Pelodiscus sinensis: one gene and its partners. The protein of the gene in region 3 interacts with the protein of the main gene of each other region in a biochemical or structural test. Links are inferred from orthologs where the notes say so. Each region holds a gene or a part of one and is shown on either strand. Other genes may lie near its edges. The genes, in order: CGN, OCLN and TJP2.

Region 1 (7,990 bases), on a different chromosome or scaffold from region 3:
ATTACAGCAGAAGGTGAAAGAGTTTAAATCCATGTTCTAGTGTTTTAAGACTGTCAGTTTGCCTTAACATCAAAATTCACAAAATCTGCTGGGGCCAAGACACTTTTGCAAATAAAGACTTCCCTGAAGTCTTCTCCTTTCTGCAACTTTGAGACTAACCAGGAATCTTCGCATAAAACAAGACAAGAATATTGTGTCAAGTTTAGATTATCCAAGCACTTAGTACAGTTCAGGGTTTGTTTTGGTTTAGATGCGGGGGGTTTTGTGGGTGTGGGGGGCTAAGAACAGAGAAGACGACTAATTCATTTTTAGAGACAAAGATAAAAACCAGACAACTACAATCTATTCATTTAAACAATGAGGGGTCTTATGGCATCTTAAAGACTAAACAGATTTATTTAGCCATAAGGTTTCATGGATAAAAGCCACTTCATTAGATGCATCTGCTAGTCTTTAAGGTGCCACTGGACTTCGCGTTGTTTCTGGAAATACAGCCTACACAGCTACCTCTCAGTGTCTAATCTATTCTCTTGTCATGCAGTCACACACAGCTTCTATATCAAGACCAGTAGCACTTCACTTGCAGTGGTTCCCAAACTTTGCTGCATCACGCCCCCTTTTTGATTTTTGAGAAACCCTCACACTCCCCCCCCCCAAAATAGCAGCAAAACTTGGGGTGGGATTGACAGGAGTGTGGAGCTGGGTCGCCTAGCGCCCCCCCTGGAATTTCTTCACACCCCCGAGGGGCACACACCCCCAGTTTGGGAACCCATATTGGAGGGACATTCACTTTGTGAGAAATGAGCCACTAAGCACTTAAACATATAAACTGTGTCTAGACTGGCAAGTTTTTCCGCAAAATCATATGATTTTGCGGAAAAACTTGCTAGCTGTCTACACTGGCCGCTTGAATTTCTGGAAAAGCACTGACGACCTCATGTAAAATCATCGGTGCTTTTCCGGAAATACTATGCTGCTCCCGTTCGGGCAAAAGTCTTTTTCCGAAAGACTTTTGCGCAAAAGGGCCAGTGTAGACAGCATAGTACTGTTTTCCGCAAAAAAGCCCCAATTGCAAAAATGGCGATCGGGGCTTTTTTGCGGAAAACCGCGTCTAGATTGGCCACGGATGCTTTTCCGCAAAAAGTGCTTTTGCAGAAAAGCATCCTGCCAATCTAGACGCGATTTTTCCGAAAATGCTTTTAACAGAAAACTTTCCCGTTAAAAGCATTTTCGGAAAATCATGCCAGTGTAGACGTAGCCATACAATATAATAACTAATGCAAAAAGTTCATTGCCAACTCATAATTAATTACCATCACCCTCCCTTAGAACATCTGAAACAGACATTCCCATTTGCTTTACATAGCAACTGCCATAAACACAGAAATACAAGGGATATCAGGCTGAAACATTATGGGTTTGTTTACACACCAGTTTTTACAAAGCCTAATCTCATGCCTTCATCTTCATTGAAAACTGTTTGTTTGGAGTGACACCCCCACCACAAGACACTGGTGAGGGGCACTCAGAAACAGGAGTATTGTTTTTAATGCCTGGGAACCAGAGAGCGAAACTGAGTAGTGAGTTTCAATGATTGCTCTAGTTTCGATCAGCTTGCAAAGGTAAGGAGGGTAAAGGGGAAGGCCTGAACTAGCAAGCTGCACCTGCAATTTTAAGACCCGTTTGGGCTTTTTAATCATTTTAAATGTGATCAGCGACACAGGAAAGGATTCTTCTGTGTTCTTACTATATCCCTTTAGAAACAGTGTCCATGTCAGTGTCACAGGAGATCATAGTCAAGCATGAGAAAAATACACACAGGACTACAAACAACCCCACAGACCATTTGCTCCTCACAGCCTGGAGATCTATACTACAAACAATAAGGCTGGAAATTATCTAACTAGTTACCAGTGGCTGTGTTTGAGGTTTTCTACAGGGCATGGGGCTATGTTCATTTCAGGTTATGATGATGTATTCCTCCTCTCATCTTTCATCATGAAAGACCTGGAAACCCACTGAACCACCAGTCAGGACCAGGCTGCATGGAAGTAGCAGAGGTTTCAGCTGCAATCCCTGCCGATGGGCCTCACCAGCAGAAAGCCCCTCATAGGGGTCCTCATGTTCAGTCTCCATGTCTCATGCAGCCTTTCTGCTAAGGCCTGTTATGGCCATCCAGGATTACAACTTTGCTAAGCACCTGACCTCTAGGAAGCAGACCCAAAGTCCATCACACACAGGCTACTGAATTAAAATGACTTTCAGTCAAATCCAGCTTGGGTTAGATTTGAGCAGGGAGGGGGGTCTAGGGATAAAGGACTCCAGACACCTCCCCTTCCCCCCAATTGTCCTCCTCACCTAAACCCATTCTGGGCAGGGGGAAAAAAACCTCAGCACATGACACTGCTTCTCTAGAAATAATAGGATGAAGCTGGGGTTTGGGAAGAGGAAGGAGTGGTGTTTCTTCATAAGAGAGTCACTAGAACAGGGACACACCAAGAGGGGTCCTATAGGAGCAGCAGGAGCCCTGGAGGAACTAGGAATGAGGGAGAACATGCCTGAAGAAGGGAGTGCTTTATGGGGCAGAGGAAGGGGGGGGGGGGGGAGTGTTTTAGAGGAGGGAAGTAAATACATATAGGTCAAGGGGAAATGGGTGAACCACCAGGGGAAGAAGCAACTGACCCTATAGGACAGAGCTTCTTATAGGGGAAGTCATTATAGAGGGAACATGGCTCTCCAGGGGAAGAGTCCTTATATGGAGAACTACTACAGAGGAAGGCTCTCTATAGGGGAGGGCACATCTCCAAAGAGAATCCCTATATAGACACAGTGTCACTATAGGAACCCAGCAGGTTCCCGGGGGATACAGGGGCTTTCCCATTCTGGGGGCCTCCCCAGGAACCATAGCTATGGGGGAAGGCAGCAACCTAAAGGGACAGGGCAAGTTCCAGGGGGCAGAGTTCCTATAGGAGCCATAACTATGGGAGCACGCAGGCTACGGGGAGGGTTAGGTGACACCGAGCCCCTATAGGAGCCACAACGATGCAGGAAGGCGGCGCCCCTATAGGGGGCAGAGCCCGTCCCGCGAGCAGAGCCCCTATAGGAGCCAGAGCTCCGGGGGAATCCAGAGCCCCTATAGAAGCGGGGCAGGTCCCGGGAGCCAAGCCCCTATAGGAGCTGCCGCGGCTGAGGGAGGAAGGCAGCGCCCCATGGGGCAGGGGGTCCCCGCACTCACCGCGCCCAAGCCGCTCCCCGCCGCGAGCGCTCCTCACCTCCGCGCCCTCACCGCAACCTGTTACCTTCGCCCAGGCCCCGCCCCCGGCCCCGGCCATTGGCCTGGGCTCCGGACAGACACGCCCCGTCCGTCCCCCCCCCCCCCCCACTCCCGCCGCGAGAAAGCCGCGCCCCGCCCGCGCGCCGCCCCGCCCCCGTTGGCCCGCAGCCAGCCCAATGGGCGGGGCTGGGCAGGAGAGATCAGCTGACTGCTCTGAGCGGGAGGGGCGCGCCGCCATCTTGGCGAGCGAGGGGTTCGGAGGAGCTGTTCGCAGCAAGCCCCGCCTCCTAGAGCGCCCCCCCCCCCCCCCCCCGGCTTCTCCCAAGCCAGTGCCCCCCCTTCCTACCTAGCCCCTCCCACCCCATAGAATCATAGAATAATAGGCCTGGAAGGGACCTCGAGAGGTCATCGAGTCCAGCCCCCCGCCCTCAAGGCAGGACCACGCTCCGTCTACACCATCCCTGACAGATGTCTATCTAACCTGTTCTTAAATATCTCCAGAGAGGGAGATTCCACCACCTCCCTTGGCAATTTATTCCAATATTTGACCACCCTGACAGTTAGGAATTTTTTCCTAATGTCCAATCTAAACCTCCCCTGCTGCACTTTAAGCCCATTACTCCTTGTCCTGTCCTCAGAAACCAAGAGGAACAAATTTTCTCCTTCCTCCTTGTGACACCCTTTTAGATATTTGAAAACCGCTATCATGTCCCCCCTTAATCTTCTTTTTTCCAAACTAAACAAGCCCAGTTCATGAAGCCTGGCTTCATAGGTCATGTTCTCTAGACCTTTAATCATTCTTGTCGCTCTTCTCTGTACCCTTTCCAATTTCTCCACATCTTTCTTGAAATGTGGCGCCCAGAACTGGACACAGTACTCCAGCTGAGGCCTAACTAGTGCAGAATAGAGCGGCAGAATGACTTCACGAGTTTTGCTTACAACACACCTGTTGATACAACCTAGAATCATATTTGCTTTTTTTGCAACAGCATCACACTGTTGACTCATATTCAACTTGTGGTCCACTATGACCCCTAGATCCCTTTCCGCCATGCTCCTTCCTAGACAGTCGCTTCCCATCTTGTATGTATGGAACTGATTGTTCCTTCCTAAGTGGAGCACTTTGCATTTCTCTTTATTAAACCTCATCCTGTTTACCTCTGACCATTTCTCTAACTTGCTAAGGTCATTTTGAATTATGTCCCTATCCTCCAAAGAAGTCGCAACCCCACCCAGTTTGGTATCATCTGCAAACTTAATAAGAGTACTCTCTATCCCAATATCTACATCATTGATGAAGATATTGAACAGTACGGGTCCCAAAACAGACCCTTGAGGAACTCCACTTGTTATCCCTTTCCAGCAGGATTTAGAACCGTTAACAACAACTCTCTGACTACGGTTATCCAGCCAATTATGCACCCACCTTATCGTGGCCCTATCTAAGTTATATTTGCCTAGTTTATCAATAAGAATATCATGCGAGACCGTATCAAATGCCTTACTAAAGTCTAGGTATATGACATCCACCGCTTCTCCCTTATCCACAAGGCTCGTTATCTTATCAAAGAAAGCTATCAGATTAGTTTGGCATGACTTGTTCTTCACAAACCCATGCTGGCTATTCCCTATCACTTTATTACTTTCCAAGTGTTTGCATACGATTTCCTTAATTACCTGCTCCATTATCTTCCCTGGGACAGACGTTAAACTGACCGGTCTATAATTTCCTGGGTTGTTCTTATTCCCCTTTTTATAGATGGGCACAATATTTGCCCTTTTCCAGTCTTCTGGAATCTCCCCTGTCTGCCATGATTTTTCAAAGATCATAGCTAAAGGCTCAGATACCTCCTCTATCAGCTCCTTGAGTATCCTGGGATGCATTTCATCAGGACCTGGTGACTTGCTGACATCTAACTTTCCTAAGTGATTTTTAACTTGTTCTTTGTGTATCCTATCTTCTAAACTTACCCTCTCTCTGCTTGTATTCACTACGTTAGGCACACCTCCAGACTTCTCGGTGAAGACCGAAACAAAGAAGTCATTGAGCATCTCCGCCATTTCCAAGTTCCCTGTTACTGCTTCTCCCTCCTCGCTAAGCAGTGGGCCTACCCTGTCCTTGGTCTTCCTCTTGCTTTTAATGTATTTATAAAAGGTCTTCTTGTTTCCCTTTATGCCTGTAGCTAGTTTGATCTCATTTTGTGCCTTTGCCTTTCTAATCTTGCCCCTGCATTCCCATGTGCCCCCCCTTCCTGGGTAGCCCCTCCCATCCCATGTGCCCCCCCCTTCCTGGGTAGCCCCTCCCATCCCATGTGCCCCCCCTTCCTGGATAGCCCCTCCCATCCCATGTGCCCCCCCTTCCTGGGTAGCCCCTCCCATCCCATGTGCCCCCCCCTTCCTGGGTAGCTCCTCCCACCCTATGTGCCCCCCCTCCATGTCTTCCACCCCTTGTGCTCCTCTGGGCTGAGCCGCTCCCACACCAGTCCCCTGGCCTGGGCAGCCCCCCTGCTCGCTCTCCCCACCCCCTCCTAGTCAGTCTGCAGTCTGGCTTTCCCATCCCCCCTCTGTTCCCTTCCCCATTGCCCCCGGCCTGCCCGCCTGTTTGCACCTGATCCCTCTTCTGGCCTGGACAGCTCCTCTGCCCTCCCCAATGCAGCCTCCGATTTGCCCCCTAGTGCCCTCCACCTCATAGGCCTAGGCAGGGCAGTTCCCCATATTGCTGTATGGCTTCCTCCACTTCAAAGCTAGGTCAAGGGACTTCCTTTCATCTCTCTCCCACCTGGGGGGGGGGGAGGGAGAGAGTGCAAGGGAGCATTCCCTACAGAAGCCTGGCCAGTTTTCCCCTGTATCTCTTCTGTTCTTGGGGATGGGAAGATTCCTCTCACTTCCCTGAACTACTCCCTCCACCTCCTCTCCCCACTGTGTCTCCCAGATAGGCTGGGAGGAAGAGCAGCTCTCCTAGTGCCCCCTCTCCAATGTCCTTTCTACCCACTCCACCCCCAACATTTTAAGCACAGGCCCTAGGTGTCTCCGCATCTCTTCCCACATCTCCATCTCTTGCCCCCTCTCTCTTTCCCTTCCTGTCTCTCTTTCTCCTGATGCCCACCTCTCTCCAGTGTCTCCACAGCTTGTGTGAGCTCTTTATGGACAGCTTTCTCTATCTCCAAAGGTGCCCGAGGCACTGTTGGTGCTATGCAAAATATAATGCCCCTTCCCTCCCACACACCCTCTGCTTTATCACTGTTCCTGAAGTCAACTGGGCTAAATAAATCCTCTGATTTCTTAGCTTGATCTACTGCCCTTCAGCTCCACAAGCTTCATGACTTTATTTGCACAGCAAGCACCCCTGAAATGCAGTTCGCGCTCCTTTTTACCTGAGTAGGTGGCACAATCCCTCACATAAGGATGGAAGGAAATGTTTAGGCCATGGGTCATGTCTGTTCTCTTAAATCATTCTTTCCTTCATTCCCTCCCACTTGTTTCTCTTTTCTCCCTGCCAGGACTCACATGGTGTAAGTACTGTATGTATGTAAGATATAAGTATGGAAGATTAGGATAATGGTGAAAGATTCTCGCCTATGTTATACAGGAGGTCAGATGAGTTAGAATAGCCTTTCTGGCCTTAAAATCTATGGGCAAGTCTACACTAAAAATTTACAGCTGTGCAGCTGCAGTTTCTGATGAAGACACTTTAAGCCAACAGGGAAGAGCTCTCTCATCAGTGTAATAACTCCACCTCCATGAGAGGCAGTTTCTATGTTGACAAGAGAAACTGCCCCGCCAATGTTACACTTGTCTACATGGGGGTTAAGGTCGATATAACTATGTTGCTCAGATGTGTGGGTTTTTTTGTAATACTCCTGGGCAATGTAGTTATATGGAAGTAAGTATGCAGCGTAGATAAAACCTATGAATCTAAGGCCATATAAATATTCACAAACTTACAGCAGCGAGCACCACTGAACTGATACAGCTGTTTCACTGTGAGGTCCCTTGTGTAGCCCTGTTATGCAGACAGGAGAGAGCTCTCCAGTCAATATAATACAACCAGGTCAATGAACTGTGCACATGAGCACTTGTGCCGGCAAAACTTAATGTTGCTCAGGGAGTGGTTTTTTTCACATCCCTGAGCTACAAACGTTTTGCTGACCTAAGTGCTAGTGTAGACTTGGCCTAAGATAGATCCAACACGTCACGTATTGACCAGAAAGGTTGTTTTTTAGTTTGCGTGTGTACCTATGTGCAGTGTTTCAAACTCTTGTGATTTTTTTTTCATCACAAGTCACACTGAAAGCCCCAGTTCCTGGCAACATGCAATTAAGAGAGACTCTTTACTTTAATTAAAACAAAAAACACCAAAGGCTAATTTCTAACCCTGAAGCTTACATGCAAAAGCTTGGAAATGTGATCTGAGTGTGTCCCTAAATGCTCAAAAAAAGAAAGCAAATTGTTAAAAAAAGTATGTAACTTTAAAAGATCTCCTTATTTTAAAGCTAATGTTGTGATTTTTGTTTGTATGGCCTGATTCATGATGCTTAGACATTTGGCCATGCTGCATATGTCAAAGCAGCATCAAGGACTCTACTGCAGTGTTCGCTGCCCACTTTGTTGACCATTCTCCCACCAAATTGCTGAGACACCTGCCCAGCATTATTTAAGGTAAAAAATAATACCGTACATCTCAAGCTTCCCAAGTGCTTTGCACACATTCACTTA
Region 2 (7,713 bases), about 49 Mb from region 3:
TTTTGGCTGAACAACTAGAAGGTACACTACTGAAAAGAGAGGTGAGAAATCAAGGAAATCAAACATGCTGCTCTTGCAACTCTTTGTAAAAATGTATACTTAAGCCTTGATCCTGCAAGTAAAAGTATGTGGATGTACTCTTCTGCCACCCACAGCAGCAAATAGGGCTCTGCCTACTCCTTGTCATTTGTAGGATCATCCCTCTGATTGTATCAGAGGGCCAAGATTTTCAAAAACAGGAATTAAATCTAAGCTGCTAAATCCATATTTTTGGCCTGATTTTTCAAAAGGGCAGTGTGCTCACCAACTACAATGTTAAGGTTTACTCGCAGTGAGAGGAGAGGCCACTTTTAGTTCCTGTCTTTGTTGTTTAATTCACTTTAGAGTGTGTCCTTGTTAAATAACGCTTAGTTTTATAGTCCGTAGATCAGGGAATATAAAAATTTTTGGTAGGGGCCATGCCAAGATTTTGGTTAATGGTCAAGGTCTGCACTTTTCTGTGGAGGGTCTAGGGTGAAGGTTGGGTGCACAGGGTAAGGGACTGGGGTTCAGGAGACGGTGTGAGGGCTCAGCGGGTGTATGGGTGAAAGAGGGGGTTGTAACCTGGGTCAAGGGATTGGGGTGTAGGGTCAAGGAGGGGGTGTGGGTGCAGGATTGGATTCTGGCCTGGGGGAGAGGTGTAGGAGGAGGTACAGGGTCTGGGAGGGAGTTGTCACCTGGAACAGAGAGAGCAGAGGGTTTGGATGGTGATCTGGGGGAGGAAGTTGGGGTGCAGGATGGGTTGGGGGTGCCAGAAGTAGGCACTAGCTGAGAGGAGTTTACCTAAGTGCCTCTTGGCCTACACCCCAATCTGTTTGAAAATACAGGCTGCTCCCTCCACCTGGTTCTCATATCGGGCTGCCCCAGTCTCTCAGGCCAATCTCTCAGCTCCGATTGACTGGCTGTTTCCAGCCAATCGGAGCTGAGAGATTAGCTGAGGTCAGTTCTTATTGGCTGGTTCTTTCTGGCCAATAGGACCTGAGGATTGGGCTGGGAGTGGGGTGATCTCACAGAAGCCTCCACCTCCCTGCAGAGCAGAGAAATGCAGGGACTGTGTTTAAGTCGGCAGCTGTGTCTGCCTGAGGGTCCAGTCAGGGCCGTCTATGGGCTGCAGCCTGTGGCTTGGCAGGCCAGATCCGGCTCCCTGGGCCGTATTTTGCCCAGCCCTGTGATAGGGACATTATGCCATAGCAGATACTGTTCTTAAGACAAAACATAAAATTATTTTGATCATTGATAAATTTGTGATGATTTTCTAAGAAATCATAGCAGTTTGGATACTTACATTCTGATAGGTTATCTAAGTAACTATTCTGCCCACCTACATTCCACTTGCAATTTCAGCTGTATAGGGTATAATTAAAATCCTAGAGACAAAAGGCTCGACTTCTAGATACTGTTTATTTGTAATCCACTCCTAATGTTAGAAGTGCTATCTATATAGGAACAAAAATTCCATTCAGAGATATCTGTCCTCTAATCGCCAAGTGTACTATTTTGTTTTCTGTTTTGTCTACTTTGAATATAAGTTCACTGAAAACACTTGTCTAATCTTTCTTCTCTATGATGCTGATTATGCAATATTAATTACCAGGATATGCCTTGATCAAGTTGCTGTTGCTATATCAACATACAAACATGTGGAATAAATAATAAAGATGGGTGACTTTACAGAGCAAAGAAATCAACCCCTGACTAATTCAAGCAATTAGATTTGTCTAATCTCCAAACATTCTATTCACTTCATAAGACTAGGCTTCAAAATTAATGTCATTACTAATGTGCATTGAGTGGACATAGAAACGGATTATTTTCTAGTTCCAAGAGGCAATTTTTGTAGGTATGTGAATACAAGTAAGGCATATTGCCCATATCCTGTGTGGAAACTTATTCCTCCTTTGGTTATGCTCTTATGATAGAAAAACTGACAAATCAGATTTAGAATAGATTTTTATCACCCCTAGTATCATTATCTCATGGATACTAGTCCTCCACCTCGCTCCCCTTCTGTTCTAAATCTGATTTGTCAGTTTTATAATGTGTTCACTTTTTTTTTCATTGTATTCCTTTGGTATATATGGTCGTGCCAATTCTCTTCCAGAATTTGATCTGAGGAAGTGGGTCTGGCCCATGAAAGCTCATCACCTAATAAATCATCTTGTTAGTCTTTAAAATGCTGCATAGTCCTTTCTTTTGTTTCATTCCCTTTTTATATGAATTTTTGTAACAGTAGCAAGGGGCCTTTCTCATTTAGTTGCCTCTGGGATCAGTTAGTTCTGGGGCAGTGGTCACCAACCAGTAGATCAGGATCTACTGGTAGATCTTGGAGCCTTTGACAGGTGATCCTGACAGGTGTGGCGAGGAGGCTATCAAATGCTGTCACTTCATCTGCCCCTCTCAGCACTACCGTGCTGCTCCTGCCCTCTGCTTTGGAGCTGTGCCCCACCCCTGGGAGTTTCTTGCTTGCTGTGCAGGGAACAAGAAGAGGACGGGGTGCTGAAGTTAGGGTGTCCTTCCCCCCACTCTGTACCCCATCTCCACATAGTTGGGGGAGAGGGGAGGGCAGGGATGAAGAGAGTTTGCTGGCTGCTTTTGGGAGCAGGGGTAAGCCTGCCTTAGTCCCCTGCATCACCACCAAGAAGCCATCTGTTGTAAGCGGTGCCCAGCTGGAGCCCACATCCAAACGCCAGCCCCAGTTCTGAACCTCTCCTGCACCCCAAATCTCTACCCTAGCTCATAGTCCCCTTGCCTCCCAGAGCCTGAACCCCCCTGCTGCTCAACTACCTCAGCTCAGAATCCCTCCCACACTCCAGATCTTTTAGCTCAAGGTCAGAGTCTGTATTCCTCTATCCCGCACCCCAGCCTTCTGCCCCCAGTCTGATAAAAGTGAGTGGGGATGGGGGAGAGTGAAAGGATGGAGTGAGCAGGGGTGGGGCCATGGAAAAGGGGTGGGAAGGAGGCAGGGCAAGCATGTTTTGGTTTGGGGTAGATCCTGGATTGCACTTAAATTAAAAAAGTGATCTCATGCTTACAAAGGTTGGAGACCACTGTTCTAGGGATATCAATGTGACACTTAAATGTCCATCTCCACAGTTGATTAATCTTCAAGTACAGGACTCTCCCTGCAGGAAGTAAGTACAGCATCCAAGGAAGATGAAGCACTGTCTCCATTTAATTTTATTTTGCTTGCAATTAAAATGTATTTTAGTTTGAGCCTTGGTTACAGGGGAAAGTTATGTATATGGACACTCTTAAGTCATGTTTACAGTGTGGGTGCTAAGATGGTATAGCAAAACTGCTATTCAGTTTAACCAATACCCAAAGTGGTCTTTCTGTTGCTCTAAGGATAGTGATATTCAGACCTCAGTGGTTCAGGAGCCAAATTATAAACCTTCATTACCCAAAAGAGCCACAGTAGTGTGAATTCATTTTTGTATTTACTATAGTACTATATATAGTATAAATAAACAACAGATTAGTTAACTCAGAGCAAATTTATATTTGGTTAAAAGCATAGTAAATGTTTCCTGGTTTTTAAATTAAAATTATTAACCATAGTGTTTTAATATCTTGTGCTGCAGAGTTACAAGAAGTGAAATAAAGAGCCACTTGTGGTTTGGGAGCCTCAGTCTGAGTATCACTGGTCTAGGAACTTCACATGCCCAAATAGTCAGTGGCAAAAATCTTTCCTCAACCTCGCTGCCTTTGGAGTGGGGGTGTGACCCTCATAGCTACAGGGTAGTGCTGAGGAAAGTGAACCTTTTACACCTTTGACCACAGTCAAAGTTTATGTAGCTATTTTTTTTAGCTTTCTTACTCAGTGTTTAGCAATTAAGCTAAAAAAGTGTACTGTCTATACTAGTGGCTCCATGAATAGGTGTTGTACCTGTCTAACCCTTCTGCTTTAAATTCAATCTTTAGCTATATCTATAAAATGCCTGTTAATATATTGTGACACTATTCTTTCTATTTCCTTTAGGTGCATGCAATGGGAGAGGTGCATAGAAACAGCCCCGAGCCACTTCCAGTACTACTGCTTTAAAAGGGTGGCATTGGCTTTGCTCTCCCCGAATTTGAACCAGCCTACTTCTAGCCATCATTTTAAAAGGTGCCTTTTTTCCGGGCGCTAACCCCTCTTCCCCATTCGTGCGTTATGTCTACAGTCCAAGAGACACTTTGCAAACAATTCCAAAGGGGATTGCTGGGCTAGGAGCTGCGACCCCCCTCCCTCCAGATCTGGGGAGCGGTGCCGGGCAGCAGAGGGGGAGAGTGAGTTGAGTGTGTGCTGGCACCACTGAAGGGCGGGGAGCGACTCGCCCGCGGCTGGGAGGTTCTCGGGCACGCCCCCAGCCCGCCCTTTGTTTGCACTAGACTCTCAGAGCTGAGTCCATCCTCACTCGAAACTGGTTCTCGGCCCCCTCCGCGCGCTCGCTGCAGGATCAACCTGTTCGCTGCCTGGTGCTGGGGCTGCCGAGTTTCAGTTGAAGGGGTCACGCGCCACTGGCAGAGGGGAGGGGAGCAGCCAATCAGTGCGGCCGAAGCGGGCGGCTCCCACCCCGCATTCCAGGCGGGAGCTGCTGGGCGGGGGGGGTGAGTGCGCCTGTCCTCGAGCCCTAGGTGTGCGGGCAGGGCGCATGCACCGCGGCGGGGTGCGGCTGGTACCGGGGGGGAGGAGAGGGCTTACAGCAGCGGCTGCTTCCAGAGAGATTAAAGAGCAGGGAAGCTGGGAATCAGGCGAGCGTAAGCGGGTGCGTGCGCTGCTGGCGTTAAGGTAAATGAACTCTTGGACCGAAGCGGTTTACAAATCTCGGAACGGGACATCCAGGTGCGATGGGGGCAAGAGTAGAGTGTGTCTGGTGACTGGTGTGTTTGCTTTGTGTAGGGTCGGGGGGAGGGGTCGTCCCTTTCTCCCAACCGCATCCATGCCCAAGTGTAAGGGCTTCTGGCTTATTCTTAAAAGTTTTCCCAAATGTTTATACTTACGGCTTGTGATTGGAAATATCGAAATAAGAAAAAAAAAGCTGATACTTCTCGTCTCTAGGGTACTACTGTGCATTGCTCATTATTATAGCCAGATCATACGTAGATCTTATTTCTTTAAACGCTCAGTTGCATATTTAAACTCAGTTCTGTATTAGTTGGGCGTTGTCCCTGTGACACCAGGGATGATTCTTCAGTTACATCTTTTGTACCTTAGCCTGCCTCTTGGTTCTAGGGCTGTGCACTGTAATAAGGGTTTCGTCTCAGTTATTGTTCTCTGATGTGCAAGTTCCTCCAAAAAGAGTAAGGTAAGGAGGCAGAAATCTATTATACGATTTTAATATGTAGTTTCCACAAAAGTTGTAAATGCCAGATCGTTTCAAAGAAGTCAGTAAGTCCTTCTTGAATGGTCGGTTCAAAGATGAACCTTTTTTAACAAGTTGCTTCCTTAAGATATATTTTCTTTTTCCTCAAGAATGTCAAATCTACCAGGGCATTCAGTCTGTTATGAAAGCTTTCTTCTCAGTAGAGAGATTTTTGGTATGCACAGGAACAGGTACATTAAATTCTTCTTTGCCTCTCAAAGAAACTCTGCATTATTTTGCAGCTAATGTCTTGTGCTCTTTCCTTTTTCTCACTGTAGTATCACCTCAAGGCTGCTCTGAAACAAATTACATTTTGGTTGAAATATCTGTTTTCACCATAACTACGTTTATGAAATGTTTTGCTGATGTTTAACTGAAAGGCTCTTCTTACTCCAGCAATTAATGGAGATACCCACTTCAGGGACTGAAACCATTGTTTCAAACTATAGTTTTAAAAGGATAACTTAAAATAGAGCTCTTGGAACAATCCACAGATTGATTGACTCTAAAACCAAGAACCTCTACCTTCAAAAACATTGTACTTGCTGTCCTTTCGGGTGGAGGAGAGATAAAATTGCCACTCTCTTAAATGCATCAATAACAAGTTGCTAGTTGCTCTTTTCTTTTGCTGGACTTAATCAGTCATAGAACTGGAAGGAACCTCTAGAGGTAATCAAATCCAGAGCATTGATCTAGCATCATCTTCTAGAGCAATGGTCATCTGAAATCTTGTGCTATTTTAGGTCAATATTTTAACAAATTGGGTAAGGGCAAAACTAATGCCCCCTTCAAAAAAGAAGAAAATGGTAGGTGATCATGAAGAATTCTTGATTGGTGTTCCTACTTGAGATCTAGCTTAAGATGTTACATATTTCAAGATATTTTGGGGAAAAATCATAGTTAAGATCAACTACTGTGTTAAAGCACTGTATGATGAAGGGGAGTCTTTGTATATTTTAGGAACTGTTTGTGTACCTTGGAGTGGAAAGCTCTATTTATTGGAAGTCCTTGAAAAAATTTTTTTTTGTGGATTTGACTTTCTGTTTTTAGTAATTGAACAGCCATCTGTATAGTATAAGGCGATCATACTAACTATAATGTCAATAAGCTGTTTAGATTGTTTTGTAATTGTCACTTTTTTTTCCTAGGTACCAAAAATAAGTCTCAGTTTAGAGAACCAGTACTTCAACTATGTCATCCAGACCTTTTGAAAGTCCTCCACCTTATCGACCAGATGAATTGTAAATATTCTCTTTTCTTCTTTGGTTACTACTTTAAATAACTCCAGATAAGCAAGTGTACATAGTTGAAATTCATATCTTTAACAGCTTATTTATACAATTGTTAACAGTAACTGTGTCAACTGTCTTCAAGTTGCTGCTGTTAGCCTATATCTGGCTACGTATTTAACAAAAAAGGAAATGTCTGTCCAGCACATATAGTGTGTTCTAATAGCTTGTTTACCACTTTACAGGATGCTTTTTGTCTCTTCCATGTGTAAACTAATCAAACAACAGTTAATTAGTGATAGAAATGTAGCCGTGTTAGTCTGGGGTAGCTGAAGCAAAATGCAGAACAATGTAGCACTTTAAAGACTAACAAGATGGTTTATTAGATGAGCTTTCGTGGGCCAGACCCACAATTAATTAGTGATTGCTGCACTCAGTGTTGCAATACCTGTCTATCAACGGGGTTGAAACTCCTTAGTGCCTACATTCCTTTTAAAAATGAGATTTAGGCTCCTAAATCAGATAGGCATTATAAAGTTGAGTGCCCTTCCTTCTAAATAGCTTTACAAATGGCCCTACTGTTTGGTATGATAAATACTGCAAATTATCACTCTTAAACATTCTCTGAGTTCTCCAGAGCACACATTCCAGTAATCTTTAAATGCCAGTGGTCAGAGTGGATTAATTTCAACCCTCTAATATTATTTGTGAACAACTATCATAAAAGCGCATGAGAAAATAAAATGTCTTTTTGGAGGAATATATGCATTCCATTGAAAAATATAGGACTCTTTAAAAACTGTCTAAATCTGACCACTTCCTGAATTAATCTAACTTCATGTGTTGTGCACTACAGTTTTTTTAACAGTTTTTCACAACTGCTGAAAACTTAAGTTGATAATTTTTTCTTTTTATTGCAGCAAACCTTCTCACTATGTACCAAGCAACATTACGTATGTTGAGGACATGCGTTCTCAGCCCATGTACTCTCAACCAGCATACTCCTACTATCCAGAAGATGAAGTGCAACACTTCTACAAATGGACTTCCCCTCCAGGAATAATAAAGATCATGTCAGTTCTCATTATAGTGATGTGTGT
Region 3 (8,037 bases):
AGAAGACTCTTGGGTAAAGAGGATTTCCAGTGCAGGACTACAGTCGTAGAAAATCTTACATATATATGTTAGAATATGAGCAACCCTATTCTAGTGCTAATCTAAGAGCAGGTTCTGCTAATGGCCACTTCCTAGGCACAGCTAATAATTGAGAAGACTCAAGAAGTAGAAGGTAAAAAGCAAAATAACCCAAACATGCAATAGAGAAAACTGTCTAAATAAAATGGCTATCTCAATTGAAAGTGTTTACATAACATAATGGCACTTAATTGATATGAGCTAATTGATTATGTTCCAAATTTGGATATGGAAGGTGGATTCTTTACAAGAGCTTAGTGTTGGCTTAACACTTGGTCTCTCTGATATCAATGGAAGTTTTACTATTGGCTCAGTTAGGTTAATGGAGAACACTTTTCAGAATTCCTTTAAAATCCTACCTATGCCTAGAATTCAGTGTTTTCCTTCTTTTGTTACATGCCTGATCACTAGAACCCTGCATAGATACAAAACTTATATCCATGTCCACACCCACATCTGCCCAAATGAGCTGCCAATATCCGCCTCCACATCCGCGAATGCAGATGCCTGCCGATTTTCAGGGCTCTCCATCACCTGTGCTGACTATACTCCAGTGGGTAGGTATTTTAGTAAATAAAGGCTTTCAGTAAATTGGGGGAGTGGTAGACAGCTATAAGAACCAGGGTTTAATCTCAAGGTACAACATAATTCAGAAAGCAAAAAGCAAATTGTGTCTTGATGCATCATATTGGAAGATCTTTGGACAGAGGTTCTGTTGTCTTACATGTTTTGTACAGTGAGGGCCCTGATCCCAAGCTGGGAGTTTTGTGTGCTGCCCTGACATGAATGTAAAAGTGTGTGCCAGAGAGACTGATGCACCTTCATTTGTCCCTCTGCACTAAGGCTGCAATACATTGACTCAGTTGATGAGTATCATTACAAGAGCATAGGTGCTAAAGCACCTCTTTTTGCTTCCTCACTTCACTTGTCTTGTGGCATTATACTCTCAGACAAATGCACTGAATTAAAAAAGGATGAAAATAGAAGGTAAAGAAAAGTCCCAATTTAGCTCCACAAGTTGTTTCACAAAATGAGAAAATCCTGCCCTGAAGAGTTTATAGTCTAAATAACTGAGAAGACTGACAAGTGAAGAGACACACAGTAGGGCTGTGCAAATAACTTTTGGTTTTTTACTTACTGGCTGAACCAAAAACATTTAAAAGATCAATTTTAAGTTTACCCTCATCAAAAATTTCAGGTTTTGGTTGTTAAAAAAAAAAAAAGCTATTTAAGTTCACAGTTCTCTGATTGAAATGTTTAGATTTGAAATAACCTTGCATTTTTTTACTTATTTTGAGTGAACGAAACATTTAGTTTCAAAGGATTTTTTAAACCTTTTAAAAAGAACACTGAAGTAAAAAAAAGGCAAAGTTTTTCCAAATCTAAACATTTCAATCAGAAAATGGTGAACTTAAATAGCTTCAGAATTTTTTCCTTTGTGTTTGATGGGACAAAAGGCAATACATGGAGGGGTGTGCTTTTTCAAAACAATAAAGCAAATTTTACATACATTTACAATTTTTTTGTTAAATCTGATTGTTTAAAAATAATTAAGCTGAAAAATTTGACCTTGCTCTAATAAGCAGGAGTAGGGCAGAGAGACTAATGCCATGGAATAAAGAGAGAAAATTGGATTGTTAGTTCAGTTTAGGCATATGTTTGGGTTAATAGCTCAGTTTTGTGGGTCTGAAAATAGTTTGTAGGCGTGTGTTGCAGAAATGAGTTCTTGGGAATAATGTAGATGGTTAAAGCAGTTTTTGGAAGAGCATTCAAAATATGAGTCAGCATGGGAAGAACAGAGAAAGTTGTGTGAAAAAAGTCAAAGGCACTTGGAAGTGGGTGAGGCAAAAGGGGACATGAAAGAAAAGATCAGTTGCAGATGGAAGGTGCTCTATGTGGTCTTTGCAAGTGAGGACAAGACATTTTAAATTGGCTGCACACAGCTGTTTGGAGCTGTTGTGATCTATCCTGTGAATGCTTCATAAAGAATAGGAGTGACTTGTATGCTGCTATTGAGGGGTTTTTTTGAACCGTAGTAAGACCAGGAAAGGACTTTATTTATTTGCACCCTTTCCAGGGTTTTGTCTGGAAGATAGAATCAGCTAATATCTAGAGAAAGAAAACAAATGTTTACAACAAGCTCCTCAGAGCAAGGCAGCTAACCTCTCCAAGTTGCTGAATTATTTTATCAATTTGTATTTGGGTAATTGTGTAGCACTAAGAAATCAATATGGTACAATGGATGATTTTGTACATGTTAATTCACTGATTTTTACACTGTTCCTGCTACTAATTAATATTTTCTGTTATGTTTGTCTTATTCTATATACAATTTTAAGAATAACATGTATCCTTGCATACCGCTCTTCATCTTCAAAACACTTAAAAACATTAGCTAATCCTTATGAGACTCCTATGGAAGATAAACATAATTTTCTATCTGCAATATATGGACTATATATGGAGTTTACTTTTATTAAGGAAAAAGGAATTGACACCAAAAAACACGTGAAACAAATAATGCAAATGGTCAGACAAACTCAGAAAAGCAAGGACATTCAGAGACTCCAATCTCCACGTCTGGTCTCATTTTGCTTTAGAACTGCAGTTGATTATCTCCTGCAGTAGCTGAAGGAAAAATAATTACTTAATTAACCCTGAACATCAATTATGTATATTAACCCTTATTTGTTTGGGGGCTTTTGGGGAGTAGATAGTTCAATAATGTCACTTACATTTCTGTTAATGATTAACAACACTTGGAAGCAGGGCCTTTAAAAATATTGTAATGGGGGAATATATCTTAATAGAAGCAGGCTCTTTCTGCTGTGTTTAGTTTTCAAGTCAAAGATTTAATTAAAAGCATGGTCTCTTATTCCTTCTGTTCAATGCATGGCATATTATGCCATAGTCAATCAAAAAGCAATTCTGTGAACCCATGCTCCTGGGCATTCTGAGAATTTCTAAACTTGAGCCACTGCTGTAAAATGATCCTGCCCACACTTGGCAACTGCCCTGCAAATTGTCAGAAGCCTGTACAGGGTAAAGTCCAACAGCTACAATACACTGTTATAAAGCTGTTGTGGGGAGTAAACTGTTTGATTTGGGAGAAATTTGCTTAGAGGGATACTATGAAGCAAACTAGCCAACAAAAGGCGATTTTTGTTGCTCCTTTATGATGTGTAAATATTACTTCTTAAATAAACCCTCATTTTTCACATTAAGACGGTCAGGACTTGGCACTCTCTTTTCAGATCAATGACTTCAGCAAAGACTGGAAAGCTGAAATATCTGGAAGTACATCTCGAAGCATAGGCTGATTAGGGAAGTTTAGGTTTCAGAATCGTGTCTGGAAGAACTGGAGGGTTCAATTACATTTTTTAGCCTGCAACTTGAGTTGCTATCAGAAGTTTCAGCTGTGAGGTGTGATATCACCAACCAGATAATCCAAAGATTTCTCAAACCCACCAGGAAAACAGAATAATGTTAAGAACAATTAGGAAAGAGAGAGAGAGAGAGCAATCCATATGCAATCCTCTAAATAAATCCATGATATGCCCACATCTTGTAATTCTGGTCTCTCCATCTCAAAAAGATAGACAGAATTGGAAAAGGTATAGAGAAGAGCAACAAAAAGGGGTATGGAACAACATCCATATGAGGAAAGATTAAAAAGATGGGCTTTTCAGCATGGAAAAGAAAAAAAACTAAGAGGGAATAGGATAGAGATCTATTCAGATCATGAATGGTAAGGAGAAAGTGAATAAAGAAGTGCTATTTAGTCCTTCATGTTACAAGAACCAGGACTCACCCAATGATATTAATAGGCAACAGGTATAAAACAAACACTAGGAAGTACTTCTTCACATAAAGGCACAGTCAACTTGTGGAACTCTCTTTGTGAAAGTAAAAATCATAACAGGTCAAAAAAGAACTAGACATTCCTGGAGGATTATAGATCCCTGAATGGCAATTAGCCAGGATGGGCATGGATGCAACTCCATGCTCTAAGTGTCCCTAGCCTCTCTTTGTCAGAAGCTAGTAATATTTCACTTCACGAGTGTCTTTTCTGTTCATTCATTCTGTAACACTTGGATTTGGCCACTGTCAGAAGACTGGTTAGCTGTCAAATGGTCTTACCTAGACTGTTTCAATACTTGTTCTGTGACTAAACAGAGGCCACAGCTGTCAAATCAGCAGTGCTTTTCAAGATTAGTGTGATTTGTAGAGGTCCCAGTTAAGATCAATCCTCAACCCAAGGAGATTTCAATCTAAATAGAATGGGAGGGGAAACGTAGAGGTGAAGTGACCTGCCAAAGGTCACATAGGAAGACAGTAGCAGAGACTAGACTAGCTCTCAGCTCAGCTTGAATCCCAGGCTTGCCCTATTCTGTGAATCACACGGTCTCTTCGCTCAGACATTTCCTAACAACAAATTACGTTGTTAAGCCAAGCGGTCAAAGATTAGGGAAGAGAGGGCTGTTTTTCCTGATTTTTTTTCCTTTCTAAATTAATATAATAGTGATTTTGAATTTAATGTCGATTTTTTTTGGGGGGGGGGCTCACCAGTTTTTTGTTCACTTACGAGACAAAGCGGTCGGCGAGAGGGTGAGTTTCAGGTCAAAACAGGGGCTGATGTAATGGCTCAGAAGATCCCACCTAGTGACTAAACCCCGAGTCTAGTAGCTTTCCTCCTCGCACCTATTGTACCAGGGCTTTGAACCGGTATTTCCTGTTCCACCCTCTCCAGCCAGAGCCAGTCGTGGGGGTGGCTGGAGAGGGCGAGAAGCTGCCAGTAAATGGGAGAGGAGGCTGGGGTAAGTCGGCGGAGCGGAGCTGCTCAGGCGGCTGTGGGTGTGCGCGGGCGGGGGGGATGTAGAACCAGCTGGCCCCCCAGCGTGTGGACAGAGTTTAGCGCGGAACCAGGACCTCAGGCAGCGCTTCCGTGCATGGCAGCTCCCAGCTCCACCTCCCTCCCCGCCCGCTGGGGAACAAGCGAGGGCTGGGCCGGGGAGCGGAGAGGCAGGTGCTCCGAAGGGCTCGGCCCGCTCCGACCCCGCTCACCTGCCTTGCTGGAGGTCTGATCAGGTCCCCCCCTCTCCATTTGCCTCCCACAGGAAATAGCCTGACTCAAAGAGACCCCGCATCTCCTGTCCCCCAGGCGTCCCGGGCTGCTCCCTCCACCAGCCAGGGGGGCGCTCAGCTCCACACGGCGCGGGCTGCTGCCGCCGGACGCCTTGCCAGCCCCGCTCCAGGTATGTCGGCGCAGCCTCGCGGCTCCCCCTTCTCTGCGGAACTGCTGCTTCCGAACCAGCCCAGCTGATTTGGAATGTCGCGGGGTGGTGGGGGGCGAGCCCCACTTCGCCACGTGCAGGCCAGGCGCTTGGCGGGGACTCTTCCAGCTTAGCTGGTGCGGGGAAGGAATTGTCCCCTGGCTCGGGTGTATTGCCCCGTGCAGTGGAGCTGAACAAAAACCCCCTTCCCCAGCCATCAGGGAAGTTCCGCTCCGCAGCCCGGCTTCCCAGCTGGCTCTGTATTGGAAATAAACTTTGGGTAAATCTCTGCTCCGGATCGGCAAGCTGCGGCTCACCCTCCGCCCCTTCCCTCTCCTGCTTTCTCCTCGCCCTTTTGCGCCTGTGCGTGCCTTGGCTGAAAGAAGCCTGAATTGGGTGTGCGTGGCTGGCTGCACATTGTTCTCGGGTTGTTTGGCTTCATGTTCGCTCGGAGGCAAGCCTCAGCAGGCTGCCAGCCCCTGAGGGAGGGAGGGACTCTTGTTCCTGCTTCACACTACCAGCCTCTCCTCTAGGGAGCGGGAATACCCAGAATCTCATTTACAGATGATCTTTTCTGTAACAGGATTATGGGCCTCTGTTTCAATTCCCACGTTAAGTACTTTGAGGGAGTCCATGATAGTAGGTGGGTAGAAGAGCTGTCACTGAGGAATCAGGCTTTCTTTAGTTTTTCTTTCTTGGAGTGTGGGTGGGAGCGAGGGAGAGAAAACGTACACCAGAATAGTGACTCAGAGTGTCTTTGCAATACAGAAAATTTCCAAGATCTTTATGTTGGCACGTCCTCACTGAATGCCAGCCATACTTCTGGATGAGGGGACATTTCAGGATATCAAAGTATTTTAAAACAAGATTTGGCAATTCAGGGGTTCAGAAATACCTTTACAGCTGTTTTGTTTCTTCAGTCAGACCTATTAACTCCTCCTCTTTCTTACTAGGTTAAACTATATGCTAACTTTAAAACACAAACCAGATATTACACAGTACCAATTACTAATAACAGTAGTCCAAATTAAACAGCTGAAGTTTGAGAAGATTTAAAATCTGAGATTGTGTAAACAGCATAGGAATTGACACAGGAAATGAGGGCTAACATAGCTTTTGAAACCGCTAAACCCCAAGGTTTTGTCCCACTACAAAGCCACCACAAGTCTGGTTTGATGTGACAAGGACCTCATAGAAGTTAACTAGAATGTACAAGGCACAGCACTAATACAATGAAATTTAATTTTAATAATGATCACTTAGGGTTAGAGAGACAAGGTGGCTTTTATGGAACCAACTTCTGTTGAGAGAGACAAACTCTTGAGTTCAGGACAAGGCTACACATCAAAATTGTCAACCTAAATTATGTTGACTGTGTTATGCAGTAACTGAATAGCTTTTTTTACATAACCATGCTCAGCTCTTTGCATTGGTGGTCCACATTCTCACTGGGCATGTTTGCACCAACAATAATTGCCAGTGTAAGGACATTGTGGGATAGTGTCTGAAAGAAAGCAAAAGTTGATGTAAGCTACACAGTGTCTACATTGACACTTCATTGACCTAATTATATAAACTTAAGTTCTGTGCCTCTCATGAAGATGGGGTATTTAAGGGCTTCTCTACACTACAAATTGTAATTTAAGTTAATTCAGCATACAGCCAACATAGTAATTACAAGTAGTGGTTCTTGTTCACACTTGCCCCTTTTGTCAGTGGCACACATTCTTAGCAGCAGCACTTCCACAAATGGGACTCACACCTGTCCCCCCTCCCAACTGTCAGGCAGGTGCTGGCTCACAGCTAGGGTCCTCTCAGCCCCATGTGGGGCTCACAGATGGATTCTCCCAGTTCTGGGGATGACTGTAAAAATACAGTTTTTTTTTTTTTTTTTAAAGCAGAACAACCCATTCTAACCAACAGCTGGAGACAGAAGGTGAAATAATAGCATCTATGAAAATGACAAGAATGTCAGTTTCACCGGTGAAACAAAAGACAGGACTATGCAGCACTTTAAATACTAACAAGATGGTTTATTAGATGATGAGCTTTCGTGGGCCAGACCCACTTCCTCAGATCAATTTGTGGAAGAAAATTGACATGACCATATATACCAAAGTGATACAGTCAAAAAAAAAAGTGAACAAATAAAATTGACAAATCAGATTTTAGAACGGAGAGGGGATGTGGGGGGGAGGTTAGTGTCTATGAGGTAATGATATTAGGGGTGATAATTCCTAATTATCATTCATAGTTCCTGCTGTGAGACTCCCTGTTGTGAAACTTAACCTTGCAACACCCTCTCAGCTGGGGCTATCAGCCTGGGAGTGATTGGGGGGTGGGGCAGGAGGAGTGCCCTAGCCCAGACAGTTAGCAAGCTCTGTAGTAGTGTATAGATCAAGCCTTATCAGTGGAATGGGTGAGTCAGGTAGGTGGGAGCTACATTTTAGTGTAGGCGCTTATAGAGACAGGATGATGTAAGGTAGTTACATAACTTGGTAGAGTAGACAAAGTGACCTGAAGAACAGCTCTGTGTAACTTATGTTAGTCATTCAGCTGTAGATCAAAAATAAATGTTCAAAAGCCATTTCTAATCGGCATTGATTTGTTGCTTATTAGTGCTCACGGTTATTCAGTGTTGGGCATGACACAAAAATAATAACCATGCATTGCTCTTCTAGTGCTT

Evidence for each region.
Region 1: the proteins of TJP2 (region 3) and CGN form a complex in vitro, tested with the Homo sapiens proteins (2 studies listed by BioGRID and IntAct, with this or other methods). The link is inferred for Pelodiscus sinensis from reciprocal best matches to the Homo sapiens genes TJP2 and CGN.
Region 2: the proteins of TJP2 (region 3) and OCLN form a complex in vitro, tested with the Homo sapiens proteins (3 studies listed by BioGRID). The link is inferred for Pelodiscus sinensis from reciprocal best matches to the Homo sapiens genes TJP2 and OCLN.

The regions. Positions count from the first base shown.
Region 1 is NC_134734.1:15,102,184-15,110,173, forward strand, and holds the start of CGN (cingulin), read right to left. Parts: upstream 3,355-7,990; 5' UTR 3,236-3,354; intron 1-3,235. UniProt on the Homo sapiens protein: Probably plays a role in the formation and regulation of the tight junction (TJ) paracellular permeability barrier.
Region 2 is NC_134716.1:81,590,968-81,598,680, forward strand, and holds the start of OCLN (occludin), read left to right. Parts: upstream 1-4,439; 5' UTR 4,440-4,864; intron 4,865-5,177; exon of another isoform or gene 5,178-5,327; intron 5,328-6,532; 5' UTR 6,533-6,575; coding exon 6,576-6,625; intron 6,626-7,533; coding exon 7,534-7,713. UniProt on the Homo sapiens protein: May play a role in the formation and regulation of the tight junction (TJ) paracellular permeability barrier.
Region 3 is NC_134716.1:32,194,711-32,202,747, forward strand, and holds the start of TJP2 (tight junction protein 2), read left to right. Parts: upstream 1-4,663; 5' UTR 4,664-4,686; exon of another isoform or gene 4,687-4,895; intron 4,896-4,943; exon of another isoform or gene 4,944-5,100; intron 5,101-5,195; 5' UTR 5,196-5,333; intron 5,334-8,037. UniProt on the Homo sapiens protein: Plays a role in tight junctions and adherens junctions. Acts as a positive regulator of RANKL-induced osteoclast differentiation, potentially via mediating downstream transcriptional activity.